4 linked regions of the Coturnix japonica genome follow. The protein of the gene in region 3 interacts with the protein of the main gene of each other region in a biochemical or structural test. Links are inferred from orthologs where the notes say so. Each region holds a gene or a part of one and is shown on either strand. Other genes may lie near its edges.

The links.
Region 1: the proteins of TFAP2A (region 3) and EPS15 form a complex in vitro, tested with the Homo sapiens proteins (2 studies listed by BioGRID). The link is inferred for Coturnix japonica from reciprocal best matches to the Homo sapiens genes TFAP2A and EPS15.
Region 2: the proteins of TFAP2A (region 3) and CITED2 form a complex in vitro, tested with the Homo sapiens proteins (2 studies listed by BioGRID, with this or other methods). The link is inferred for Coturnix japonica from reciprocal best matches to the Homo sapiens genes TFAP2A and CITED2.
Region 4: the proteins of TFAP2A (region 3) and KCTD15 form a complex in vitro, tested with the Homo sapiens proteins (2 studies listed by BioGRID, with this or other methods). The link is inferred for Coturnix japonica from reciprocal best matches to the Homo sapiens genes TFAP2A and KCTD15.

Annotation. Positions count from the first base shown.
Region 1 is NC_029523.1:21,506,410-21,513,418, forward strand, and holds part of EPS15 (epidermal growth factor receptor substrate 15), read right to left. Parts: intron 6,586-7,009; coding exon 6,544-6,585; intron 5,497-6,543; coding exon 5,407-5,496; intron 5,061-5,406; coding exon 5,013-5,060; intron 4,044-5,012; coding exon 3,948-4,043; intron 3,558-3,947; coding exon 3,492-3,557; intron 2,954-3,491; coding exon 2,828-2,953; intron 2,382-2,827; coding exon 2,322-2,381; intron 2,041-2,321; coding exon 1,840-2,040; intron 647-1,839; coding exon 501-646; intron 1-500. UniProt on the Homo sapiens protein: Involved in cell growth regulation. May be involved in the regulation of mitogenic signals and control of cell proliferation. Involved in the internalization of ligand-inducible receptors of the receptor tyrosine kinase (RTK) type, in particular EGFR.
Region 2 is NC_029518.1:48,804,719-48,812,264, reverse strand, and holds CITED2 (cbp/p300-interacting transactivator 2), read right to left. Parts: upstream 4,676-7,546; 5' UTR 4,171-4,675; intron 3,614-4,170; 5' UTR 3,607-3,613; coding exon 2,893-3,606; 3' UTR 1,470-2,892; downstream 1-1,469. UniProt on the Homo sapiens protein: Transcriptional coactivator of the p300/CBP-mediated transcription complex. Acts as a bridge, linking TFAP2 transcription factors and the p300/CBP transcriptional coactivator complex in order to stimulate TFAP2-mediated transcriptional activation.
Region 3 is NC_029517.1:65,923,020-65,930,028, forward strand, and holds part of TFAP2A (transcription factor AP-2-alpha), read right to left. Parts: exon of another isoform or gene 6,859-7,009; coding exon of another isoform or gene 6,832-6,858; intron 5,765-6,831; coding exon 5,330-5,764; intron 2,685-5,329; coding exon 2,633-2,684; intron 1,933-2,632; coding exon 1,701-1,932; intron 734-1,700; coding exon 615-733; intron 1-614.
Region 4 is NC_029526.1:9,282,824-9,290,276, forward strand, and holds the start of KCTD15 (BTB/POZ domain-containing protein KCTD15), read left to right. Parts: upstream 1-2,452; 5' UTR 2,453-4,626; coding exon 4,627-4,644; intron 4,645-6,027; coding exon 6,028-6,203; intron 6,204-7,453. UniProt on the Homo sapiens protein: During embryonic development, it is involved in neural crest formation. Inhibits AP2 transcriptional activity by interaction with its activation domain.

The sequences.
Region 1 (7,009 bases), on a different chromosome or scaffold from region 3:
ACCACGCAATAGCTTACAATGGAGAAAAATTTGGAAACAATACCACCACACAGTAGGTGTCACTACAGGCTATAATATACAGGTTATAATGAAAGACAAATGATTCACAGAATTAGATGGGCCCTGAGTCTTGAATGCTAACAATTTAATACAGATAATTCTCAAATGGACATTATCAGTTTTCAAATACACAGCAACATTATGGTGCTTTATATACAGGCATTTAGCTAAATGCAGTATTGGTTTGTAGCTATCTCTTCAGGCTCTTTACCTCCTTTAGCTAGGAAACAGCTCATGGCATCAACCAATTTACCCTTTATTTCTATCCAAAAGTAGAAGCAAATTAAATTACTGCTGCTAATACAGAGGCCTTGCTATTGTATATGAAAATAGCCCTCATTTTCCATAAATGTCGACCTAGCACTTTTCACTAAAAGAGTAAGGAAAAAGCAAGAACCATGCCATCGCCTAAACAGCTGTCGTGGAAAAATAATCCCTACCAGATATGTGCAAGCAGAGCAGAAGGCAGTCCCGTCTTCAGGAATAGTTCTCTGGCTTCCACACCTGACACAAATCCATCCATGTCCTTGTCAGTTTTCACAAAGATCTCATCATACTTAATTTTGTCTGCAGGCGATACAACCCACTGAAGAGAAGGGAGAGGGAGCGGTAGAGAGAAAAACAAAATCCACAATGCCAAGATAAAGACAGTTCTGTTTTCAGACTGTTATATACTTTCAGAGTTACATATTTGAAGGACTACAGCACAGATTTTGAAAGTGATACGGGTGCCTCATTTATGAATCACTTTTATCATAGATAAAAGTACATAGACATGTATAGGCATCTGTAAGACACTCCAAAAGTAAAAACATTGGTATCAATGAAGGACAACAGTCGGCTGATACTGCTCTACTACTGCTCTGATACTCTCTTTGCCTATGCAATAGATGTATCCCTTGGGGCCCAGATCTCCTCCTAGCACGGGGTTTTCCACTCACCACTGTACTCAGTCCAGCTACATCAACTTCACTCCTCCTTACACAGCTGGAGACCCTTAGCTGGGTCAAGCTCAGAGATAACAGCTGGGACATTCTAAATTGTAGGTCTTAAGTTCTTACCAGGGTAAAGATAGGAGTTACAGCCACATTTCTTACTTCAACATTTTCTCCAAATACTACACTATTTACTATAAAAAGGTGGGGGGAGGGTGAGTGAAAATTGATTCAGCTTCTGCATATATGCATGCTTGTGGATATTAATTTAAAAGTACAAGGACATTTAACACATACAAATCTCAAATGGTACTGTATTAAAAAAAAAATATACACCAAGACACTCATCCAGAATACACTGCTTTGTAATACACACACTACCCAGGCTTAAGTCAGTCAAGTAAACTGCCAGATTAAAAGTCTTGGACAACATGTAAGTACATACACAATCCTATCACAATTTGTTTTAAAAACTGCCCATGTTCAAACCAGTATTCAGTCAGAACAAACATTCTGCCTGCACATACTTGGATTAAACTGTTTTCTAAGTGTTCTGATCTTTGGGTTGAGCTAGATGTTTTGAAACAATTTATTTGTAAAATACCTTCAAAATCTTCACTAAATAATACACTTTTATCCAACTGTTCATATTTGAAGACATCTGAAGAAATTACGTATTATACTTTCTCTTAATCTGGTCTTCCCATCACCCTCCTCAACTTTATTATCGATAGGCCAAGGAGAAGGAAATAAAAAACATTTATCAAGACTTTTCACATAGGCAGACCCCAAAGTAAAACATTAAGAACAAATCTTTTGACCCTAATTTCCTTCAGAATTATACCTGTGTTAATGGAGTTTTGGCAGCTAAAATGCCTACAGGTGGCAGGGACTGATGAGAATCTTTGCAAGATGCTGAAGAAGGAATTAACGGCATTGCTCCTGGAACACTAATAGGTTTTCTCTTGGATAGTGGCACCAAAGCTGCAGGCAAGGACATTGGCACTGGTTCCTTCTCCAACGCGCAGTACACCAAGAACATGGCCTGAACACATACACAAAGAAACAAACACGTGAATGAGGAGAGGAGGAAGAGAAAGAATTAGTTAACAAGCAACTTTGTAGCATCTTTTCACAATATTTCATTTAGCCCAGAGGGAAAGTTACTGTTGTGTAATGATACATTCAATAAATTGATATTAATTTGATTAAATTCTTTGAATAAAGGCAATAAATGAAACTGCATGGTCACAAACTAACAAAATTCATCCATTTTAAGCCTCTGTCATTCAATTTTCAAAATTCTGAGGTATATAGGATACTTACCACTGCAAATTCATCGCGATCCAACATTCCATCTCGGTCGATATCACTCAATTCCCACACCTACCAATAAAAAGAACATAGGGATATTCGCCTAAACTGTAATGTTTTCCTTTTTACGTCATTAAAAAACAAATGTGAGAACAGTCTCCTTCCACTGTATCTAAAGTCCTAATAATCTAACAGCAGTTTTCAGTAAGTGATATACATTCATACAGGCCATGCAAAAGAAGAGTCTGAAATTGGAATGTTAATGGAACCTTGTCCTAAACAAAGTGTTAATCTATCAGTTTTGTGTATGCTTTATAATGAGAGGAAATCCATTGAAATATCACAGAAAAAATTTACAGTGTAACAGTTCTATGTGTGGTCAACTCCATAGGACAATATTTAGTAATTAGGCTTATTACTATAAACACAGGATTTGAGGAAAAGATTATGAATGTAGCACAGTTATTATCTGTGAATTAACAATTAACTGATAAGTAATGATAAAAAGCTATTCTTACTCGTCCTAAGATATCCACTGGCAATTTTGAGTTCAGGAGTACAGGTTTCACTTTATCTCCCGACAACAGTCCATTAACAGGATTTAGGCTGTCAAAAATAGCATCATACTTGGCTTTGTCTTCCAACTGCGGAAACAGAAGAAAAATATGACTTATGGAAGCAGTCACACTTGCAGTCTACAAAGCACTTACAAAAATACAGACGTATTTTTGTCAAATTAATTTGTCAAAGCTACAGTGAAAAAGGCGTATATGGAACGTATATCATATCATATCATATCATATCATATCATATCATATCATATCAGGAACTTCCTGATACACAGAAATTACATTTCCCCCCCCCCGCAACCCCCATCCTTTTTTTTTTTCTTTTCTTTTTAAAGTCAGAGACTTGTACAAAATCCATTGAGATTTAGTCCTCATTTGTTTTCATGCCTTCAAGTGACCATTCTCAATAAATCAAGCTTCTTCCCAAGATTTCCCAAGCGGTTTCACTCCTCCTCCAGACCCACACAAATTAGATCTACAATTACAGATTTAACAGGAATGTCCATTTATCATATTTAATAAACTATAGCTACCAGCATCATATCTTTCTCAGATTTGTGTTTCCTTACAGACCAAATTACTGTTCTAGGTAGTAGCATGGTACTTCGCTTACCTTAACAGCCCATGGTATATCACTCGATGCTGTTCCACTGAGCAGCAAAGGACTACTAGTATCAGTCTAATGAAAAAAGAGAAAAAACTCACTTAAAAAAATAAAGAGTTCTGACATTTCAAAACTACCCCTTTATTTGTGAAATCATTGCTTCTCAAGGCATTTGAGTCATGCATATTATAGTTAGGGAAATAAAGATTTACAGTAAGAAATTTAAAACCTTCCTTCTATTAAGGACAGCACTAGTAGAACGAGTGCCATAAACGTTCCAATTTCACACAATTTTACTTTTATAACCCCACTAAAACATGCAGCACCTTATTCTAGCTCCATGTTCTCTTGTTTTCCCCTCCCCTGCAGCATCTTTTTCAGAAACATCAGATATTTATAACAAGCCCTCCTAATTATTAGCTACAAAGCTTCTTATTAATATGTATATTGAGAATAAAATCTTACAAATCTTGGTGGAGGAACGGGCAAATTGAGGCTACTCAGGGAAACCTCCAATCCATTCTGTGCACATGCTACAAGTCGTAAAGCTACAAAAAACTCCTACAGGAAAAATAAAATGGTAACAGTTTTATTACATGAAAATATGCAAGAGCAAAGATTAAGAGGTTTTCTAGTACTGTTATACATACAAAGGTCACAAACAGCTTGGAAGGGTATGAATTGCAAAATGACAGAAAGCAGCAGTAAAAAAACCAGTGAATTCTTGCAATGAGGTAAAACTTGTAATTACTGCCTCCACGCAGTTAGTAGCTTCCTTGCTAGTACAATCAGCTCTCTGCACTCAGTTCTTCTATGACAGAGAAGTAAGAATCTGAAGCAGCACATACAGCTGTTTATCTTGAAGGAACTGAGTTAACCCCAAAGGTGGCAGCTGACAGCGAAGGAGGGAAGAAACGTACAGCATATGAAAGGGATGAACTAAATTGGAAGGCTGGTGAAAGATTTGTTTCATAGATGCTACAAGCAGCTTTTCCTACTGTGAAAGAAAGCAACCAACTCTCTGCAGGCCATTATTTAACTAACTACACTTCAAACCATCTAATAGCAATATCACATCAGAGCTTGTCAGCAAGCAGTATGTCTGACTGACATACTGCTCACAGCTGCAGCTTAAAAAGAACAAGTCCAAACACAACGCACACACATGAAATCCAACAAAATTAGATAAATGTGGATTTTGAAGATTTTATAGAACTTTGATTTCTGCATTTTTCACCTCAAGATTAAGAGGAAAAATTACCATAATAGTAAATACAGTATATTAGACCTTAAATTATTCCTCTGTTGTATTGCACACATACACAGCAGCTCATATTATGACTTGAAGAGAAACAGATGAGGTAGCTGAAGGGTACTTCATTTATTGTAGCTTACACTGAAACAGGGAGTACATACCAGAAAAATAAATCCTATGAGAAGAACTGCCTTTCTGAACCAGAAACATTCATGCTTATCTTATTGCAAGGTTTGCTAGCAGTTAGAGTAACCTCATTCATCAAACAACCATACCTGTTTGTTCAAGATTCCTTTGCTATCAGTATCAGCTAAGTCCCAAATCTAAAACATAAAAACAATAGTCAAAGGTATTACAAAACACTAAAAGGAAGCTGGCAAGTTCTCACTTACATTAAGAACAATTTAATTCTTGGATGGAAGTTCAGTTCTTAACTTTTGCTACAGCAATTATTTGTGGTGACAAATTTAAATGCTGTTTTAATACCATCATGAGCAACATAGACTGTGGAATAAGCACAGGTACTGAAGTTTGAAACCATTAAATAGCAGTACTGAAAACACATGAAGGAAGATCATGTATCCTGCCATACCTATCCAAGTACTTTAATTTACAGAGGACACTAACTGAAGCAAGAGACAGGATAATTAAATACTTGTCATTAAATACCTTTCCAAGCACCAAGTCTGTCAATCCAGATTTCTTCAAGAAGACAGCTGCATCAGAAGCTAACACTCTTCCAGTATTAGCAGAATCAACCTGGAGGTAGAAAAAAAAAAAGCCAACTCACATCACCAACCAGCTTTTGAATTGATGCAGTCTCATTATAGAAGCTCTCACAAAGCTAGCAAAGAATAGTCAGGTTAACATAGCCACTTTTTCAGAATCTCTTTCAGCAAAGGCAGAGTAACACAGTATCAGCTGTGTTTATTTTTAATTTCACAGTCCATACTGCCTAAACTGAATGACTAAGTTTATGATAGAACTGGAGGAGTACTGAGCATCAGTGCTATTTCAGGTGATGAATTTATTCTTCAGTGGTACAGAAAGCTCTTAAGTGCTTCTATGAATGAAACAAGACATGCTCTACTAATACAATAAGACAAAGGGAAATGTCTTTCTAACACTGCTGTTTTGAAAGCTGACATCTTTTTGTTCAGCAATTTCAAAACTGAAATGCCCCTTTTGTGGAGAAAAGTCCTTCTTAAGAAGTGAGTGCTCAACTTTTTGAGGTATTAAAAAAAGAAAAAGGTTTGTTTTCTTTTCTTATTGGTCTAAATATAAAAGATGAGTAATAAATAAAATTCCAAAGTCAAAAGATTTATGTCTATTGAGTGAAGCTGCAAGAACTTCACATATACTTTTGTCACTAGGTTGCCTTTCACCCAAAGCTCACAACAGCACTGAAAAGAACCTTAAGACATCAAGAGAGATGCAAGTCTTACATAAACCTAACTAGTCTGCAAACACAACAGTCAGTTTCACTTGTAAATGGAAAACAAACCACATGAGAACAGTATTTGGCAGGGGGTTACTCCAGTCCAACTGCTCACAGTCTTATTATTGTAAACTGATGTATGTTTTGTTGAATTTGCTACCAAACCACCATACGTAAATCATCTTACACCTTATTTTGCACTGATATAGCTCAGACAAGTTTTAGTTACTACAGAAATATATTGTAAGTAAGCAGTGTTTTTCTCGAACTTCAAACACTTACACACTGCTGGCCATGCTGAAGTCTACAGCAAAAGAATATTCTTCTACATTAAAGAAAGCTTCTTTTCTTAACAAGGACATACGTACCTGTCGATAGAACTTCTCATACACAGGATTTGCACTTGATAGCTATAAAGGAAAAAAAAAGGGAGGGGGGGGGAGAAAAGATATTCAATTAATCATAAAATCTGCATTTCAACTCCCTTCTCCCTGGATAATCAGAGCCAGGAAACACTTTTTGCTGGTCTTCATAAAGCGTTATGCAATTTTGCAAAATGATAAGGACAGTTATACCATAGCTTGTGCTTGTTTTGTATACTCGCTGCTTGTTTTGGAGTCGCTGCCACTAATCACTATCAGGTTACCATCAGACAGGTCACCAGGCTAGGCAGCACGAAACAAATTCTTATGCAAGATCCAATACAAGCCAAGAAGCCTGCAATGATACAGTCTAGTAGGTGCTTACTAATGAATACAAAGCAGGATAGCTGGGTTTCACTATCCGTTAAATCATCATTTAGAATTCAGTGCCTTAAGCAACTAGTCTGCAAAA
Region 2 (7,546 bases), on a different chromosome or scaffold from region 3:
GGCAGGTTGGACGGGGCCTGGGCAGCCAGAGATTGTGGGGGGCAGCCCTGCCCATGGCAAAGGGGGTTGGAACTGGATGACATTTAAGGTTTCTTCTAACCTAAGCCATTCATTGATTCTATGACTTAAGTAGTAAAGTCTCAACTGTGAAGAATCTTTTGCTTAACCAGCACTATGAAGCAAGGATACTTTATAACATAAGTGGGAGTATCTCCTTTTGTTTTGGGAGAATGCAGGGGATTTAAACATTTGTGCTATTTGGCGTGCCCATAATTTGATAGTCTGTTCTGTAAGAAGTTGATCAGAATCAGAAGAGACACTCTCCAGAGCTCTACAGAAGAGAGCAATGCAATGTGTGCAGATCAAACATCCTTAGCATAGAAAAGGGACTTACATAGTGGCCAGTTGGGCAATGGCTCTTGGAAGCACACCTGTATTCCTCTATAAACACTCATGTTATTTTAAATGCTCCCACTTGATGTTCAGTTTGCTTCCACACTACATGAGCAAGCACTGGCTCAAGCCAGACTGTCATTTTTAAGCTCTTGGATTGTCTAACAAAGGGCTGTTACCAGCTGTGAGGACCACATTATCATCAGATTTTCCCAGTAGCGTTCACTTCCGTATATCTACTTTTGTTAATATTATGGCATTTTTTTTCTTTAAACCATCATAAAACATATTAACTCCTTCACATCCACATAGTGCAAAGAAGGCCAAATAGCACTTTATTCACCAGCTGGGACAGTTTTTATCAATAGTAATCAGTTTATTTTCCCCACTGGATTAAAAACCCCACTCCCATGGTGTGATGATATCCTCCCCTACTTATGTGCCCAGGTTTAAACTTTAACTGTCTCCATCATGCTACTCTTCTTCCTAACATACTCAAAACAAAAGGTTGAAAGTCAAGTGAAAAGAAAGCATGGAGGTGTCGGTTCTGTATTGAATTTAGGAAGTGAATGGGAATATATGTATTACCAGGGCCTGGCCCTGCAGTCAGCTCTTTAGCAGTAACTTAACATATCAGCTTTGCCAAAGGTGGAGTGAGGGCAGAAGACTGCAACAGTTGGCACTGGAGGAGCAAGATGTCATCTGCCCTACAAAAAGGGGCCCTTTTTCTCTCCCAGATATTTAAAGTGGATTCTTATGGATTTATCTCAGTGAGGTTGGGTGGTATGTTCTATGGGAGTTCTATGGGAGAGAGGGGTTAGAGACGTCCCATGGTGGAATATTTCAGGAAGTAGCTAGTGTGTATTCCTAAGTCTCTAGGAATGGAATGAGGTCAGTGCTGACGTGATGCAGATCTGGGCTGCACTCCCCTCTGTTAACCCTCTCTGGGAGATGAGAAAGCCCACCACCCTCCTTCCCCAAGTTACAAAGTTATAACCTCTCAAACCATCTTTCAAAGTAGTTCTTTCAGATAAGATAATAAATATACAAAAAGAAAGAAAAAAAAGTCTATTGTATAAAATGAAAGAGGATTTATAAAATTACAAGTTTAATAGATAAATATAATAAATACTTTATGCATCATAACTCTGGACAACTACATTTAAAGCAAGTATGTTGGCAAGTCACAAAAGAGTCGCATCTCAGCAACTTCGTATTTCATCAAACCACACTGACAGGCATATTACAATGCTACGTATGAGGCTGTATGCTGTAAGTATGTTTAAATCCCACTCACCTACCCAGTTCACCATGACATATATAGGGGTGAAGTGTACCTCATATCTCGGAATGTCTTTTTGAACACCAACATGGTACTACAGAGAGATGCTTTACTTACTGGGGAAAGTGGGGGGAGTTTAGAAGAAAAAATACTGGTAAATGACTTCTAGAAAAACTAAAGCATTTCTTAACTTTTTATTGACATTGGCAAATTAAAATAGAATAAATTAACAATATTTTCTCAAAAAAATGCTTTGTACAAAAATACTGTCAAAATTTCCTGAAAAGCTTTCAACACAGTAGTATCTTTTCATGTATGGAATAAACTATATTAGCACAGTGTCCAAATGCTGGAGACAGAAAATAATTCGAACCGAAATAAAAATTAAAACAATAAAATAAAATAAAGAGAGAGAGAGAAAGAAGACCTGTGAAATGTTTGCCACTAGTCAGCATTCCATCCACACCATATTATTGTCTGTACATATGGGGGAGGGGGAATGGGCAGCAGACTCTTAAGTAACAGTTATTTACTTGTTCTGATCCGGAAAGGTTTGGCCCACATCTGCTAAGCTTCCAGTTTAGCGTATCCGAAAAAGAAAACAAAATGATGGATTTATTAGTCTGCACTGCGATGCATAGTTAAAAATTAAGCAAGATGGCAGCATTTGTGCAGTAGTATCTGCCCTTCAAAGTTCATGCAACCAACGAATGCCTTTTTCCCTGTTCCCTCAGAATTTGAATGCAGCTCGAGTCATCGGAAACCGTCGTTTCCCAAATCCCCAAGATCAAGCAGTTTGCCGAGATTAACATCTATCTGTTCAACACGGTGGGAGTGATGGGCACGTTCCTGCGAGGAAATGAGGAAAGGGGAGGGGGCAAAGAGCGCCCAAAGGCACAGTTCGATGGGAATGATCCCCGGGGGGATGGAGGAAGGATGTGTGCGTGTGGAGGGGGGGGGAGCCTTGGGGGGGGGGTAAGAGGGGGGTAGGGGAGGGGGACACGTGAATGTCGAGGCTATAAAAATAAAAAGTGGCAGCAATTAAAAAAAAATGAAAAAAAAATAAAAGAAAAAAAATAAAGAGTTTACGCAAGCGCATAGTTTACTCTGCTTTCCAGATTCTCTCACCTTTTCGGGCAGCGAAAAGTGAGACACCGCGTCGGGGGGGAATGTTTTCACTCGCACCGCTAGAAAGTCCTTTGTTTGTTGGAAATGAATCAGCAGCTCACCCTGCTGGGCTGCTGTTTGCAAACGAAGTCCGTCATGAAGTCAAACTCGTTCTGTCCCAACCACAGCTCGGGCAGCTCCTTGATGCGATCCAGCCCCATTTCGATGACTAAGGACATGAGGACCTCCTCGTCGATGAAGTCAGTGTCTATGACATTGGGCGGCAGCATCGCCGCGGGGACGTGGGGCACGGCGGGCGGCAAGCCGCTGCCTCCGCCGCCGTGCTTGGGGTTGCAGTCCCTGAAATGCTGTCCGCCGCCGCTCAGCGGGTGGCCGCCGGGGTGCAAGTCCGGCACGTAGTGGCCGTGCGGGTACGGGTGGTGGCTGAAGTACTGGTTGTTGAGCTTCTGCAGCTGCATGCTGGCGCTCAGCTGCCCTCCCGGGCTGCCCACGGCGGGGGCCATGAACTGGGAGCCGCTGAAGCGGGCGGGAGGCGGCATGCTGCCGGCCGGGTGCCCCCCGCCCACGCCGCCCGGCCCCATGGCGTGCCGGACCCCGCCGCTCGCGTTCATATTGCCCGCTCCGTAATGTATATGGTCTCCCATCAGGGCGCTGAAGGCGTGCGGCTGCTGCTGCTGCTGCTGCTGGTGGTGATGGGGGGCGGCGAACTGCCCCATGCCCAGCCGGTGCGCGGGGTGGTGGTGGAGCCCGCCGGCGCCGTCGGGGAATCGCCCGTGGTTCATGGCCATCATGTGTTCCGCCATCTCCCACCTGGAAAGCGAGCGTGTTAAAGAGAACGCCCCTCAACCGGCGGCCCGAGGAAAGCCACCGCGCCTCTCGCCGTCCTCCTTCCAGGGGGAATCTCGCTACCGCGTCTCTACCGTGGAGTACAAAGGGAGAAACGCGAGCGGCGCCCGCCCTGCGAACGCCCCTCTCCCCTCCGCTCAGCCGGCGTGCGGCGAGCCCGCCCGCTCCAACTTGTGCGCACCATCGGCGGACCGTGGCACCCGGCACAGCCGCCTCCACCCGGACGGGGGCCCCGCTCCTCCGGAGCCCCGAGCGTGTCACAAGCTGCGTTCGTTCAAAGGCGCTCCTCCAACTTGCGGAGAGCGAGCAAAGAACCGGGGAAGTCCCACCCCGCCGCTGTCAGCAACTTTTGGAATGAAGTCCCAATTAAAAAGAAATAAATTCAGATACCGCAAGGCATATATACGGAAATTAAGCCGCGCGGCTGAGGAGCGCCTTTTCTCGCGCGTTTAAGCGGTCGCGTTTTTCCTGCCGCACACAAAAGGGACGCACCGCAGCAGCTGCCCAACCTCCGCACTCACCTCCCGGCTGCTTTCTTCTTTCCCTTCAAAGGTGGCGGTGGAATCAGTCAGCAGAAGTCACCCCGCATAGAGCGCTCTGCCCTCCTCTCCCGGGCTGACGTGACGGCGGGGCTCTGCCGCTGCCGCAGCCCCAGCGCCGCTCCTCACTCCTCCGCGAGGCTCATCGGCACTTGCCAACAATGAGCTGTGTTTCTTACCCAGCTTTGGCCACAGCTAATATAGGATTTCAGAAGGGAGGAGCAAAACCCTTACAGGCAACCAGAAGTAAAACCTGGAGCAAGCGAGGGGAGAAAAAAAAAAACAACAAACCAACAACGAAAACCAACCAACACCCAGCGCGCACACATACACGCTCACGCACGGACACATCCACGCGCGGAGCCACGCAGGACAGCATCCAGAGGCCCCGCTCCCCCTGCCCGGCCGACACGTGTGTTTGTGGGCTCCCCCGGGAACAAAGCGGGGCTCCGCGGCGGGGAGCGCAGCCCCGGCAATGCCACAGAGGAGGGCGCTGCCCGCCTGCACCGCGCGGCCGCGGACACGCGTGGGGCCGGTCGCTAATGCAGAGCAGCCCGCTCTCGAAGAGGCCCCGCTCCTCGCCCCTCCCGAGCCTTCGCCGTGCAGGTGTCCGACCCCGGACGCGGACGCGCGTGGGCGCTCCCCCGGGCCGGCGCCTCTCCCGGCGGTGAGATCCGAGATCCACTTTTTTTCACAGCCTCGGTGCCGCATCTCTCCCTCCCGGCCTCCCTCCGTATCCGCGTTGCCCCACAGTGTAGCAACCACCTCGGGTGTGCGGGGCGGGTGCCCATCCGGTGTTGCCCATTTTCTTGCTTACGATCCATGTTTTTACAACGGCAAAGGAAAACAACCGTAAACGGGTGAATGCTTTGTGAATGTGACCTTCTTGGCTGGCACGTCCTCTACCCCTCCTGTCGCAGGTTATCCTGTGCCACCCTAGAGGGACACGTGTGCCCCAATTGCCCCCAAAGCAGCAGTCCTGCACAGGGCACCTCTGCTACAGTCCCACCCTGCTCTGGGAGGCAGTTGTGCTGGAGGAGCACACAGATGCTGTAGGATGGGGGAGGCCTGCTGCAGGGGAGAGCTGGACGTTGCCTTGATTTTAGCTTTCACCTGGCTTTCTCCTCTCTGCTTCCCCTTCTTGGCTGTCCAGGAGGACTCTTCCCCAAACAGGAGGGATCATCCGCTCCTCTTTTGAGGTCAAAGCAGCCATCATGTAGGCTGAGCTGGAGCTTCTGCTCCTCCATGTACTGTGCAAAGACATAGCAGTGCAAGAGGTGCACAAGTGCTTCTGGGGAGATGATGTCTGCAAAGGCCACAGGGGTAACTTGGAAGTACAGACCATATGGCAGCCCTCCTGCTGCTTTTTGTGTGGCCCTCACCTGGCCACAGGAAATTAAGGAGGAGCAGTGGCTCCACCTCTCTCTACTGTGGTGGAGACAGAGATAATCCACTCGATTATCCTTGTGGGTCTCTTCCAATTCAGGATATTCTATAATTCTACTATTCTGTGAAGTAATACAGTAAATCCCTGGATGGCTGTTGCAGTTCTCACTCATACAAAACACCAGAAGAATACCCCATTCAAACCCCAGCTGAGATGCATGGCAAGGATGGAATTAAAGCCCTGGGTGGACAGGGAATGCCTCAAGTACGAGAGTTACCTTGAGGATGTGACCTCACCCTGCAGGATGCCATCATAAAGTTGTATTTTGTTCTTCTGATACATGTTGAGTAGGTGCACTTTCAGGAGAAGCTGTTCAGCAGGACCTCCATTCTGGCCTGGGGAGATCAGAAGAGTGACACTACCTTTCTGGAGGTTTTCCTTTCCTGTAGTTGTGTAGGTTTTACAGGGCAAAGCCATGAATAAGAAGAAGATACTGCTCCATTTGGCAAGTTGTCAGCTGTGTATCATGACAAGTGGTTTGTTTAATGTCACATATCCATGGTGATATCGGTATGCCTTTTTGCTCTCCCTTGCTTTGAGTTTTAGATCCTTTTTAAAGCCAAGCACACATCATATCACAGCCCTGCAAATGCCCTTTCCTATTTTCAGCTTTCAGATGTTGGGAGCTGGTATCAGATGCCAAAATGAGCTATGGAGAATTGGCAAGAGACTGCCAGAAGCAATAGAAGGCATGTCACAGCCTCTGTGACACCTCACTCATACAGAATGCATCTTCAGGTATTTACAGCCCACGTGCAGTGAAGCAGGCATGATGGAGCTTTCTTCATCAGGGGCTGCAGTGTGTCGAGATAAACCTGAGCAGAGTGATGTAAGACATGTTTTCATTGTTACTGGCTTGTGGCTGTAGCACAATAGGAACACAATCAACTGGTTGCTTTCCAGGAAATGGCTGGAAGACTTGGTGACAGGCAGCTAAGGGAATGCAGGACAAAACACGAGACCATCATGGAGCTGGTAGCAAGCTGGATCTCATGCATGCCACTCCTGATTTGAGCCAGGTTTATTTAAAGCTATCCTGTCACCCATAGTCTACAAAGGCATCTTGCGTACCTGAACTGGCTCTTCAGTAAAATAACAAGAAAGGCAGCGCATAGCCAGAGAATGCAGGAAGTGGGCAGGGTGAGGATGGAACAACAGAGCTCACAGATGTACTCCTCAGTGAGGATCTCAAGTACAGCTGGAATCAGAAAGTGATTGTTTTGCCCATTCAGGAAAAACCACTGAGAACGATTAAACACGGCAATGGAAAAGCAAGGAAAAATGGTCCTCATTTGGGTGTTAACATTTTATATGAGAAAGTCACAGGGGAACAAAGTCTGATTTCTGGCTGCAGCCCTACTCACTCCTTCCAGGCTGGAACACTGCTGGAACAGAAAGGAAAATTATAGAGGATAATGCTCAAGTCAACTCAATACTTACAGTTGTAGGGATCTGCCTCTGGAACCAAATGAATGATGAATTTCTGGGAGATTTGGACCTCTAGGTCTTCTATTTATTTATTAACTTTTATTATTTACTTTTATTATTATTTTTTTCCAACTCCAAATACAGTCTGTAACTCTCTGTGACTTGTTTCTCCCACATCACCCCTGGAGGTGAGTTTCTATGTGTTCCCTCCCACGCTGACACAAAGCAGTCAGGAAAACCCAGTTCAGGACATCTGCTAGGGTTATCTGATAGGAAATTTTATATTAGAACGATATCCTGGAAGAAATGCCCTTTCTGTAGAAATGATTAAGCTATTGTATTGGAAGGCAAGCCATTATTTTCTGGCACCTCTCACTTCTGTACTCGTCACGGCTTCCTTCAATCCCACCCTTCCCTGGGCACTTGGCACTTGGAAGACACAACTGTGCTGCAGGACGGCTCCAGCCATGGCTCCACCAGCTG
Region 3 (7,009 bases):
GCAAAGACTCAGGCTTCCCATCCCCGAGTTCCGAAAGTTCAGGGCACCTGAAGGTGCTAAAAGTAAGTTGTGCATTCTCTGGACAGACCGAAGCAGAGTAGAATGATATAATGAAGGGAACACATGTCCTGAAAATGAGAACCAAAAGGGAGGGGGGTGCAACTCATAGGCTTTCAGGACACCATTAATTCATGGCTTAGGTCAAGGATTCCCAAATTAATTCAGGAAGTAATGGTCACGCATTTCTCCAATGCAGATGTCAGAAAACTTAAATGATTTACTGTTATGTGGCTGGGGGCAGGGGGAGATGAATCCCAAAGCAGCTGCAGTTTTTTGACATTTCAGTTGCCCACTGATGGAAGGGTGGCAGCAGCCCTGCTCCCTGCAACTTACAGCCCAGCGCTGATGGGACTGAGCCTAACGCTGAGCCTGCAGGATCTGTTTTAAGTTAGATCAAAAGACAGAGCCTGCACAACCAACCATCCTTTCCTGGCAGACCACAAGAACACCTTTCCTATTTCAAACAGGCAGCACCAACTTGGAAAATAAAACAGAGCCAAGACACCAAGCCTTGTCCCACTGTGCAACACCACAGGCAGGGCTAAGGCACTTACCCTCCACCAGCGAGGTGAGCAAGGTGACATTAGCAGCTTTGCGCCTCCCGGCCGGCAGGTTCAACCCTATCTTGTCCAGCTTCTCTCGGAGGGACCGCCCACCATTTTTGGACTTTGCCCTGTGCCACAACAGAAGGTGGTTAGAGGAAGGGCAGGAGGGACTGTGTAGCACCCCAAAACACCACACTGTCACCAGAGGGACACTGAAGGGAGGCTTCTGGGGGAAAAGCTGAGTCTACAGATGGAGCAATGCAGTGACTGAGGTGACGGCCTGCTATGAGCCAGCAGCCGCCACGGCCTAGAGGGGACATGTCTCAGAGCGGCTGCATTATTCCATTGATAAGACAAGAGAGGATGGTCTCAAGATGCACCAGGGGAGGTTCAGGTCAGATATTAGGAACTATTTCTTCACATAAAGAGCAGTGAGGCACTGGCACAGGCTGCCCAGGCAGGTGGTAGAGTCACCGAACCTGGAGGTGCTCAGGAACCATGTGGATGTGCCACATAGTTAGTGGGCATGGTGGACCAGATTATCTTAGTGCCTTTCCAAGCTTAATGCTTCTATTCTATAATCCTGTCATTATTGAGCGGGCTGATGTGAAAGTTTGGGAGCCCACACTGCCGTTATCACACGGGAGGCTGATTCCTGCATGGCAAACACCGCAGGCCTGCAGAGACAGCACGTTAGGATGCAAGTTTGGCTAATTAATTTTATTCCCTACCCGAGCTCTCTTATATTGCCTGGATTAGATCACAGCCCAACGGCACCCACATGGCACGGTGAAGCCAACCTCCACACCCGGGGCTGCCATAGCCACGACAGCAGAGAGGCCGGGGGTCCACCACGCCTCACACACCGGGTCTCATTGCTATGATTACAGCAGCCCACCCCTCGCTTTCCCCCCTCAACCCCCAGGCGCCCGCCGTCTCAGCGGCAGCTCGCCGCTCCCCCTAGCGGCCGGGCGGGCGCAGGGGCTCCGTCGGGGCGGCAGCGGTCGTCGGGCGGCCGGCCGTGCGCTGCGGTTCGATGCCCCCTCGGCCGCCGCCGTCCGCCCGCCCGCCTCCCTCCTTCCCCCCGCCCCTCACCTCCGCAGCACTCCGCCCAGCAGGGAGGCGTTGAGGCACTCGGGAGGCGAGAGGCGTCGCTGCACTTCCGCCACCGTGACCTTGTACTTGGAGGTGGAGCTGAGCAGCGAGAGGCGGCCCGGCACCGAGCAGAAGACCTCGTTGGGGTTCACCACCCCGCCGAAGAGAGCGTCCTTGTTGATGGGGATGGAGGAGACGGCGTTGTTGTTAGACTTGGACAGGGACACGGGGCCTGCAGGGAGGGAGGAGCGGGAGGTGAGGGGAGGGGGGGCAGAGCGGCCAGCCCCGGCCCGGAGCGAAAATAAACCAAAACGGAGGGGGAAAAAAATAAAAGAAAGCAAAAAAGAATAAAAAGACCCCGAAACACACCGGCCTGCCCCGGCACAGAAGTTGGGAGCGCAAGGCAGAGGGCCCGGGGTTGGGGATGGATGGCTTGTGACATTAATAGCTCGGGGAGGGCTAATGGATACACCGGGAGTTAAACGAACTCTGGAGATTACTAATAAAAGAGCCAATTATCATGTCGGCTCGGAAAGAGCATCTCTTCAGATTTATCCCTCGCGCGTCTAATTTGACGTGACAAAGGCTCGGCGGGCGGGGAGGGGGACGGGGCGCCGGGCCGCCCGCTGTCCGTGCCCGTCCGCCCGGCAGCGCTGCACAAAGCCGATGAGATCCCACCGAGCCGCCGGTCCCCAGCAGCCCGGCCGATCGCCGCCGCGATTTGAAGCACGGAACAGCGAGAGGAAGAGCTGTTTGCCGACAACGATTTCACACCGCCGCGCAGCCCCGAGCTTCGGGCAAAGAGCGAAACCGAACCGCATCCCAACGCGCCGCAACACCGGAGCGGATTTTGCAACCCCGCAAACTCCCGGGCAGCGATACGAGCGGTGCCCTCCCGACCCCGGCCCGCCGCGCCCGCGATCGCCGCTCACCTTTCTTAATGACGGTCTGATCCGGGATGTTGATGCCGGGGTCTTCTACGTGCTGCAACACAACGAGAGGCGGCGGTCAGCGAGCACGGCGGGCACCGAGAGCCGTCCCACAGCCCCGGGCCCCGCATCCATCCATCCATCCATCCGTCCGTCCCTCCCTCCCTTCCTCCTCTCCCCGCCGCGGGCGAGGCACAAAGGAGCGGCCGCAGCCGGGCGCACGGGGGCCGCTCCGACGGGGCGAGCTGTGCACCCCCGGGCGGGCTTCCCCCCCATTGTGTGCCCGCAGATGGGGTTCGCTCGCAACGTGCCGAGGAAACCAAACGGAACAGCGTTGTTAGTATTTTTTTCCTTTTCTTTTTTTAAATCCGAAAGAAGTGACAGGCGATATAATGCCTGGCTGTGTTTACAAATTAACACCAGCGCTGCTGAGATAGAAGGTTTCGCAATGGTTACAAAACGCAGGCATTACCATTTAAAAAACTATTACTTCCTCCTCTAGTCTTTGTCCAACAATAATACTGATCCTAACATTTTCCATTCTGCCTTGGATTTATGCTCCCGTTAATTGTGCCTGATCTCAATGATTCCGGGTGGATGGTACTAAGTTGCTTTATTACAGGTTTTATTATACTCCGTGCTCTCATTTGTAACTTGCCTAAAGTGCTTCTGGATTTAAGTATAATTAAATTGAGAAATGTTCAGAAATGACTACTGCCGCAGTTCTCGTGTTTTAACTATATGGGGAAATATGATCCCTTTATGCATGCACCCTAAACCCATAAAGTCAATGTAGTGTGGCATAATACTTTTATTTGTGTTATTTCTGCGCCTATTCCGTACGGGGAGGACTGTTAAGTTTAAAATCCCACCGAGATATTTATGATTAAATAATTTGCACCGTCTCCTCGATTTACTTAAATCTTCCACCGGTCCCTTTTTTGTTAAAGCCCAACCGTGGCAGCAACGGAATAATCCACAACCGACCCCAAAGCTCCGTGTTATTTTCCCCCCTCTCACAACGAGATGGAGACTCTCAGCAGATACGTTCCCATATTTCTGTGCCTGCCCATTCGGTTTCACAGAGAGGGGGAAAAAAAAAGCCCCAACAACAACAACAACAACAACGCACCAAACAAAACAAAACCAAGAAACCAAGGGCCGGGCTGGGTAAGGATTTAAAACAGATGGCACTCAGCTCTCACAAACTACGGCAGCGCCGTTAATTCGTGGCTCTTTCTGAGGCAAACGGAGCGATTTGTACTGTAGTCTCTGCAGGGCACAGAGAGACAGAGAGAGCGGTCGGGAGCGGAGGGGGAATGGAGGAGTACGATTTGGTCACGTTCCTGCAGCAGTCAGGGGTTCAACGGCAACAAATTGGTTTGTTCCTGCTGTTGCCTCCGCGTTCTTTTGCATCGGGTTAAAAGAACAGACTCGTTCCTAACGGATCCCAATGGTTCACTAAAGCCTCCGCTCTGGAAAGCGTTCGTATTTATTGCAAAAGTGCGGAACACGAGCGGCAATTTTCTGCGGCTCAATTCAAACGGGGGGGGAGGGGGGAAAGGGGGGAAGCTGCCATAAATTCACCATTTTCCACGGGTGTAATTTGCAGAAGGTTTCCAAACGCCCCCCAAAAAGAGAGCTACGTTCGTCTGAGCATCATCCTCGCAACGCGAAACTGTACTCATTAAGCTGTCAGCGAATATATTGTTGGAAGATTTGATCCCGTAATTTGGGATGGCATTCGGGCAGAAATCACATCCAGACACCACACAGCTCCCTCCTCTCCCTCGCAGCCTCAGCCCATCCGCACGGGCTCTATGAGCTTTTATACATCTATTGCCATGTTATCGTTCTGTTTGCAGGGAGAACCCCGGCAGAGGAACTTTGCTCACGTTCCCATTGCGTTGCATAAGGCACTTTCCTGCGGAACAATGGCCCGGCTGCTCCATCACAGCCGTGTGTAATGCCATGCTTCATTAGAAACCATTTTAGTTTGAAATCCGGGCTTACTGATAACAGAATTGGATTCCCCGAATATAACATGCTGCCCAATGGGCTCCACACATTTAATTTAATAGAAGTGAGGCAGGTCTGGTTGGGATTTGATAACCCATAGGTACAGCCAATGGTCTGTGGGGTCATCCATCCCTCTGTACTGCTGCTGGAAGAACATGGCACCAGCTCCACACAAACCTCCTCCGATACTTGTCCATTAATTCCTTTGGAGAAGGGATCTCGCTGTGTCCCCTCACAACTTGAGATGCCACCATCCCGTAATATTGAGGAACCATCGGCCACTTTCCCCGACTTTTTTTTAACCCCTTTCCCTTTGCATTTCCCATGCAGAACGCTCACCGAGACCCCACACCAACGAGAGCTCCCCAGACGCACGGCCCTGTGGCTACAGTAAACATTCTCCCAATCGCAACATCTCATTGTCACCGAGAAGGAAAGATATTGTTAACGCTGACACTCATTTGATTTATCCCCATTTCAGCGAGCGCACCACACGAGCCCATTGTTCTGGGCAGGGGGGCTCGGCCTTCCTCTCTTCCTCCCTCCCCTTCTATTACATTTCGGGGGCCCCTCCCTCGCCAAGTGTCCCCCCTCCTCCGACGAGCGAGAGGGGGGCACCAAGGGGACAGCCCCTCCGCCGCCGCCCGCCCCCAGCCGGGGCCGCGGCCCGGCGTTGCTTACCGGCACGTCCTCGATGGCGTGAGGGATGGAGTGCAGCGGCAGGTCGGCCAGCCCCGCTCCCAGCCCGTGAGGGCCGTGCAGCAGGTCGTCGTGCCGCCGGTAGTCGCGGCGGGGGTCCAACCCCCCCAGCTGGTGGGGCAGCCCCCGGTGCGCGTGCAGCAAGCCCGGCTCCTGGCTCTGCCTTTGGCCCGGCCACGCCGGGTGCTGGGGCTGCGGTTGGGTGTGCAGGGAGTTGAGGCTGTAGGGGTCGTTGACGTGGGAGTAGGGGTCCTGAGACTGGGGGTAGATGGGCTGGTACGGAGGGGGGAAGTAGGGCGGCTGGAAGTCGGCGTTGGGGGTGTGCGAGAGCGGCGGGGCGCTGCTATACGGGGACTGCCCCACGGCCCCCAGCTGGGGCAGCCGCGCCGTCCCGTTGCTGGCACTGTCGTGGCGCTCCTGGGGGGGGGAAGGGGGGGCACGGGGAGGGGGTACGGGGGAGGAGGGGAGGGGAGAGAGGGGGAGAAAAGAAAAACAAAAGATGAAATCAAAACCGGTGCTCCTCAAAATCGCCCTCCAGTCATTTCACCCGCCGAGCAGCTCCTCGAGCAGAGGGAGAGAAGGGGGTCCGTCTGCCGCCCTCGGCAGCATTAACGGGGCTCGGACCATCGCCCCAACGGTGCCGGTGTAATAGCAGCGATAACCACAATAACGGGACCGTTCCGAACAATTCACAAATCGCTACGGCGGCGATCCGTGCGCTCCCGGCCGGCCGTGCCCCGGCAGCGGGCACTGAGACAACCCTTACACGGGGCCCTACGGAACCATAAGCCGAAACCGTAACCCAAAGCGCTGCACCGGCCCCGGCGCACCTCTACCGGGGGCCGCCGCCGTCACATCCCGGGGATAAAGCGGGAGAGCCGAGAGAACTGCCATCTTGCTGCGGGGGCACCGCTGCCCCTGCCAGCAACTTTGCACAACGATTCGGGGCGAAGGCGAGGGCCCAGAGTCTCCTCCGGGCCCCGTTCAAACGGGGGAGAGGAGGAGGAGGAAGGGATCGGAAGGAGAGAGACATAGCCCTCAGAAAGGCGGCGAGGGAAGGAGTAAAACCCCGCGGGCAGGTGCGGAGCGACGGGAACGGGGTGGCGGCTCCGGAGATCGGCAGAGCAAAAATAAAAGGAAAAATAAATTTAAAAAAAAAAAAAAAAAAAAAAAAAAAAGGAAAAAAAAAAAGGGGTGGTAATGGGGAAAAGAAAATAAAAGAGAAATGGAAAGGAAAATAAAAAGGAAAAAAAAAGAAAGGAAAAAAGAAACAAACCCCAACATAACCAAAGCAATCTCCCCCTCCCCCCCCCAACAAAAAAGCAAAGGAAAATAAAACCAAACGAGAGCGAAGAGGGCGAAGCCGAGGCGAAGCAGCAGAACGCAGGGCAGAGCCGCCTCGAGCCCGGCCGCCACCGCCGCCGCCAACAATAGCAGCGCCCCGCGCCCCGACCCCCGGCGGAGAGAAAGGCGAAGCCACTCACCATAGCCGAAAAACTGTGCACTAACATCTGCGAGGCGTCGGGGGATGCGCGGCGGGGAGAGAGGCGCGGGGCGGCCGCGGAGGGGCGCGGAGCTGCGCGGATGGACGCGGCCGGAGCCCGGCGCTACGCTCGGGGGGCAGCAGCGGGGAGCCGGGGCTGCTCCTGCTCCGCGCCCGCG
Region 4 (7,453 bases), on a different chromosome or scaffold from region 3:
AAATCTGGGGACCTTCACTAAAAGCAGGGGAAAATATCCAATTTTCATCGCAAAATTAGCTAGGGCGAGAGCAAAGGGCTGAGCTAATTGTAGCCTAATCCTCTGCCCTGCAGGCGTTTGCAAAGCCCTGAGCAAGAATTCGCTTTTTTTCCTCCTCTTCTCCCTTCCCTCTGTTATTTAGAGACGGGATTATTGCCTTTCTTCTCATAACAGCCTCGGCAGTTTCATTTAAAGGCTTTTTTCCCCCTCACACGCACACATCCGCGCACACACAACATAAATAGAAAGAAGCGGCAAAAAACAGAGAGGGGGAGAGCGAGCGAGGAGAGAGAGAAGCCTTAAAAATAATAATAATCACAGCAGGATCTGAGGAGCAAAGATAGTAATAAAGGCAAAAAAAACGAGCCCATCCACACACAAACCCGGCAGAGCCCAAAGCCGAGGGGGGCTCGCGGCTCATCCTGTGCTCAAGGTAAGGAACCCGGGCCGGGCTGGAGCGCTGTGCCGTGCCGTGCCGTGCCGTGCCGAGCCGTGCGTTGCATTATTGCATCGCGCTGCACCGCGCGGCGCTCGCGCCTTCTCTCGCTCCTTTTTTTTTTTTTTTTTCCTTTTTTTTTTTTTTTTTTTTGGGAAAGTGCCTCTTCAAACTAACTCGGCTCCGGAGGAGAAGCGGCAGAGGGCTGTTTTTTTTTAAAGCTACAGCTCCCGCTTTGCTCGCGCCGTGTGTGTGTGTGTGTGTGTGTGTGTGTGTGCGTGCGTGTGTGTGCGTGCGTGTGTGTATGTTTTGTTTTGCTCCGCTCCAGCATGGGCAGCGCCGGCGGAGCCCCGCGGCCCGGGGTGCCCGCGCTGCCGCCCCGGCCCCGGCTCTGAAGACGGCCCGGCCCCGGCCCCGGCGCGGCGGAGGCAGCGCAGCCCGCTCCGCGCTCTCGCAGGGTACACGCGGAGCCGCGGGGGTCGGGCGGGCGGCGCGGGGTGCGCGGCCGGGGCGCGGGGGTGGCGGCGGGGCGGCTCGGCACAAAGGGAAGGCGGGCGACAATGGGAGCGGCGCGTATGGAAAGCACGGGAGGGATGTGAATGAAACTCTGGCGCCAGTGAGAGTGGAAGGCTCGGGTCGGGGCAGACTTCAAACCACTCTAGGCTATAGTTTGCATTTCTGCTCCTGCGTGCGATGTGGCACACTTCTGCAAAATTCATACATTAGCCTGGCTAACGCTCGCCTCCATTGGCTGCGCCGAAATCGGATGCGATCGGGGTTACGGGGCTTTTTTTTGCCCTCGCGTTCATCTAAGATATCTCCCTGTTACGAGGGAATAAGTAAAGGACGCCATGTTGTGCTTTTTTTTTTCTCCCTGCCGATGGTTACCTTCGGGCACGCCGCGTTTCAGAGCGAAAGGCAGAAGTTGGGAGGGCGGCTGCGGCGCTCCGCGGTGGTTCCCCTGACCAGCAGCGGGGAGAGGCGTGGGGTGACGTGAAGCCGCACTGATACAGCGGCGGCTGCCACGGCGGGCGGGGGTGGGGAGGGAGGGAGAAAGGAAAGGAAAGGAAGCCTCTGCTTTTCTCTCTCTCTCTTTTTTCCTTTTTTTTTTTTTGGTGAGCATTGCTCCGCGGGCAGCCCCCCATTCCCCCCTGCAAAAGTTTTGGGCACGATCCACTCTGTCACTCGGGACAGCGGTGCGTGAGGCAGCGCGGAGGTGTGTGCAAATGTTGACGGACTTTAAATTTTGGAGCCATCCAGTGCGAGGTTTCAAGTAACCCCATCCCTTCTTTGTCTCTAGGCTCGCTTCTCAGCGTAACCAATTGTCTCCGAGTGGCTCTGGAGGCAGACCCGAGCGGTCGCCGTGCGTGTTTATGGAGACAAAGGTAAATGCCCGGCCCGGGGCTCTGCCCTCGGCTCCGCGGGGCCGCGGGGCTGGGGCCGCTCCCGCAGCTGCTCGGCCCGGAGCGATGCGGCTGGGGCCGCTCCGGCGGTGGGGCCGGGCCGCGGGCGGGCGCCGGCCTCCCCGGATCCGGGCGGAGCGGAGCGGCCGCAGCGCCCGTCGGCGGGTGTCGGTCCTGCTGCGGGCGGGGCGCGGGGCGCGACCCACGGGGCCCCGCAGGCGCCCGGGCGGAGCGAGCGGGGACTGGCGGCTCCTGGAACCTGCGGTGCTCATTTCACGTCTCGAATGTGCATGAAGGAATTAAACTGCACGAGTGAATAACAGCATTAGTTTCAATTAATTTTTATCCTGGCAACAATAAACTTTAGAAACAAAGCGCTTTTACATCCGCAATTAGTCTTGCTTCCCATCTGTAGTCTTTTTAAGTGCCTGCTCCTCGATTTAACTTTGTCCCTCCTTCAGAGCTGCCTCCTTTTCCGCTCTCCCCCCCCCCCCCCTTTTTTTTTTCTCGTTATCCCTTCCAGGCTGCCGCTTGCTTCTGCAACCTTTCACCTCCCCTGTCCCTATCTGTCTGCTCTGCTCTCTGCAGTTTATTTCTACTGTATTTTCCCAACATCAGCAGCAGTATTGGTTACCATGGCCCCGGGCTATGTGCAGAGGTGGGAAAGCTTCATCCGCCCAAAAGTTCTTACACTTTTGAAGTCTTTCTTTTAGTAGGATCTGAAATGTATCATCTAGAGTGTGTATTAAATGAACAGTATTCCTGAAGGCTTTAGAGCAAGAAAGGCAACACCCTGGAAAATTCTGCAGTCTTTCAGCATTCTCTGCCCTAGGGTTATAGCCCTGGGCACGGAGCTGAATGGAGCTCTTACAACTGCCTTCTGTTTACCTTTTATGGTTAAAATAACAGCTTAGCAAAGAAGCAACTTCATGGAGAAACGATTCAGTGAAATCATCTCAAGCTGTAGCAGCATAGCTAGTTTAATCACCCCTAGAGAGCTGAACAACTGTGAGCACAATGGGACACAAAATCATTTTGTGTGTAAATGAGCATGGCATTGTGATTATTTCACTTTGCATGGGCAAATAGTTTTTACAAGCAGTACTTATGCAGTTAGCTTAGAAAGGCAGAAAAAGATAAGCTGGCTCTGAAAGATCTTGGTGTGCAATGTTTGAAAAACTAAATATTCAGATAATTTGGGAAGCGGGCTCTATTGATTTTGCCTTCAGCAGGTTCCTGTGTTACTGATTAGAGCAGGGTTATTGCCTGTGCCACTAGTTGGGATGCTGTATCCTGTCGTAGGCAACTAAAGAGCAAGGATTATTTTACATGGTTTAATAAACGACTTTTGTTAGTGTTCCTACAATAGTTACCCTTAAGGTTTTAATTTTCACATCAGTATTAGAAAATACGTGCATAAAGACTTTCACTGGATAAATACATTTAAGGTTTTGCTTTGTGCATAAAATAAGTGCATTACTCAGTGTGATCAATTTTATCTGTGTTTTACATTAAGGGAGAGGAAGGAGTCCTTAGAAATAGTGGTACTGTACCTTAGGAAACAAGAGTGCTTATTTTTTGGAGCACTACAAGTGTTTTCAGTGTCCTTACGCTCAACAATTACGCCCCCTGATAATCTGCTCATAGGAAATGACTGAACTCCACAACTCTCATAAACACGTTGGGTTCATTTTTAATACCAGTCCTCTCTGAGCAAGGGAAAAGCCCGTGTTCTGATTCCATCTCCTCCCCCAAAAAGCCGGTAGCATCCTCAGTAAGTACGAAAAGCCATAAAAGTTTGAGAACTATTTTAGCTTTCCAGTGATTTTCTATAATTAAGTGTTTTTTCAACACATGCTCTAGCTGAGAGATGCCAAAAGCAGAGGATTGTTCAAAAGGTCCCTCCAGTGAATAGTATAAATTAAATATCTACTGTGTGAGTATGGCCTCTCTGAGAATCTCAGACTTTTTACAGATCAAGGAATTTACTGGTATACTAACATTAAACAAAATCCTAAGATAGCAGCCGTGCTTAAATATGCACAAATAGGTTCGGATCACTTGATCTTTAGCTATCTGTGCATATTTTAAAATAAAAGTCTGTATTTCAAGACAAATGGTTAAATGTAAGACTCGTTTACAGAGGACTGGAAGCCCTTTGATTTCATTTGGAAATTGTAACAAGGGGTGCAGATGAGCCCTAATTAGGCACTTGTTTTGTGAAACTGCATGAGATGTGTTTCTAAGGCAGCTCTGTGCTGCGCGAGGTCTGTACCTTTATCATTAGTGATAATAGTTAGGGTCTGAACAAAGACAGGGTTGACATTCAGCCTGTGTCTCCTGACCCTTTCATTTAAGTGAGGGAGCACAGACTGAATATGAGTTCGCAGTGCTCTTTGGTAAGAAAGAAAAATCTTTGTGTTGGCAGACAGATGAGGCACCCACAGACTGGTAAACAGAGCGCTAAAATCCTGCAGGTACTTACATACTAAGTTGCTTTTGAAAGTTAGTTCTTTTATTTATGCTATACGACCTATTTACTGAAGCTTGCCCACAACAAGCTCTTGTGGGAAACAAGAAAGCAGCGTCTTGAGTCATGAAAGGATTCAATCACTTTCCTTGAAGGTGGTGCTGTAGCAAAAATGTTAATGCCCAATTTCACATCGACTGACACAGAAGTCCTAGGACAGAGCTGGCATTTGCTTCGTGCTCAGTGCAGAGGTCCATTCTGCCTCCGAAGAGGAAAGGATGTGGATTCATAATGGGGTGATGTATTGCTGTGCTTTAGATGCAAGAAATCCTTAGGAGCTAAACTAGATAAATGCAGTTAATGGAGACGTTACGATGACTTTATGAAGCTGTCTGGATGAATTAAGATTTTTCAGCTCCTTTCTACATAGCTCAGATTTGGATTTTTACAGCAAATATTTCTAACTGCATGTTCATTGTGTGTCATAGCCAGGCTCCTCGTGCAAAATAATTACTGCTAGAAGAAAGACAAGACCAGCTTTAGATTTCTAGGAAATATTATCAAAGTAATGTGGGAGAAATGGGAATTCACTTTGTAATGCTGTATTGAAGTGCTTATCAGATAGAAGGGAGAGTCTGGGTGTTTGGTAGCATGCTTGCAAAACAAAATACCAAGAAAATTAGATTATATTCAGAAATATCTTCAGCTATAATGTTTTGCATATGTTGTTTTACCCATAAGGGGGAGAATGAACGGACATGTTCTAAAACTTACAGTAGATTTTTTGTTTGCCATGTGTGCTATCTGTAGTGATTGAACCAAAATTAGCTCTGAGACACACGTTTCAGCAGGATAAGCTTTGCTTTTCTTACTGAAGAGAACTGCTCTCCTGCTTTGCTAATCCTTTCCATTTGTGAGACATTTTAAGATTCTTGACTCAATTCAGTAATTCTGCTAATTATCAAACATTTTTAGTGCAGTAGCCATTAGATGGATGCTGAATTTGTGATTTCACTTGCCAGATTGCATAGTGGTCTCTAACGCTTCTTGTCATGAAAACACAGGTCAGTTTACATATATGTATCTTTCTGTTTTCGCTGCTTCCAGGTATTGCATTCAGTTTCAAAGCTTATTAGTTCTTTGTATCTAATATTAAGGCTTAACTAAAAATTATCAATTTATTTTGCAATTATTGAAAATAAGACACAAAATTGATCTCAGTTTGATATGAAATTTACTACATGTATAAACTAAATGCCTTAGGTACTGAGGAAGTCACTAATTTAGAGGTGTCTCGTTACTGAGACAAACTTGCAAAACCCCCTGAATCCCAATTCACAAATTGGTTATTCGTTTGTCAGGGGATATTTCACATCTAACACATAAGCCCGCGACCTTTAATTAGAATTTTGCAGTTTGTTTTATGCCCCTTGAGGCTGACACCTTGAAATTTTTTTTCTTGATTTCTTATTGCTAATAAGCATCTTTCCCTTCCCCTCTGGTACTTTAAAGAAAATGATGCAAATACACTTAATTACAGTGGTGGCAATAATTTGTTAGCTGAATATGTGATCAGGCAGATGCAAAAATGATCTGATTAGATCTGTGATCACACTGAAAATAAAGGTAACACACTGCTACATTTAAGAAAAACTGTTCTTTTTGTCCTCCGTTTCCAGGAGGGAAGAAGCATGTCCCGTCTGTCTCTAACACGGTCCCCAGTTTCTCCTCTGGCTGCTCAAGGAATTCCTCTCCCAGCCCAGCTCACCAAGTCGAACGCTCCTGTGCACATCGATGTAGGAGGACACATGTACACCAGCAGCCTGGCTACCCTGACCAAGTACCCAGACTCCAGGTAAGACTTCTGGGTTTTCAGGCTCTCTGCCTCATTCTGTTCATTGCATGGAAATACTCATGTATGTACCTGTGCGGCATATTTCGGTGCGAAATATGATTTATTATATATTCACCATTTATGAATAATTCACTTTCCGATTTATACGTTAACCTCACTGGTGCTGTATAGAAAAAATGCCTGTACAATTTATGTATTATTTAGAGAGCCTATTCATTTTCTCTCTCAGTGTCTTCAGCACTACACTGCCATGTGTGAAGCACCTGTTGGTGTCTTTGATTATTTCCAACTGTACCTGGCTACCTTGTTCCTTTCAGATTTAGGAAAAATATTTTTTTTTCCGCCTTCTTTCAAGAGAATGAATCAGCTCAGTTATGTTAGGACCAATAGATGCTTTTGTTGGCCAGCAGAAATCTGAAAGTCAGGCATAGCTCAGTGCCTCTGTGGCAGCAGGCATGTCCTATGGGCAGTAGGCAGTATACCAGCTCCATGCACTTGCAGCCACACTTTGGATCAAGTTTGTGTGGCTTAGGGTAACTGAATAGCACTGTGTGTTAACTCCAGATACATCAAACTATGAACTGAGGAGGCATGAAGATACTGTATATGTAACACTGTCTCTTTGTTACTTGCCCAGATCCCAGTCCTGTGGGGTACTGCCCACCAAGATGTACAAGTCACCATGGGTAGCATCAGACCTGTAATGGTACTGTGGAAGAGATCACTGCTTTCAGGGTTAAAATATTTTCATTGCAGTAGTACCTGATTTTGATTTACAGTTATTGATCACTAAAATGATTCATCTTTTTGTCATTCTGACTGTTTATGCTTCAGAAGGATAAATGCCTCGTAGGTAACCACCAGAAGGTGTGGATATGCAGTATCAACGTGCCTGTCAGACTGCTTAAAGGAGGCACTATGGACTCAAAAGTAATCCAGAGCTCAGGCCAGCGAGATATCAGAGATTTTGCTACCTGCATGGCCAGTATTTCTGTAAAAAGGGCTTTTTTTAATTGGCAACCACTGTAAAGCTGTAGATTTATTTGGAGATTTCTCCTTTTAAAGAACTAGCTTTTTGGCACAGATTTGGCAGGTTCTTTAGCATAGAATGGCATTTATGGAGATACCTTGGTACGCTTCTGATGTCGTAAAGCACAGGGATACGTTCTCATGCCAAGGAGAGATAGTTGCCACATCATTTATGGGAAAAAAACAATTACTAAAATTCTATCTTATGGTTAGACTGAAAC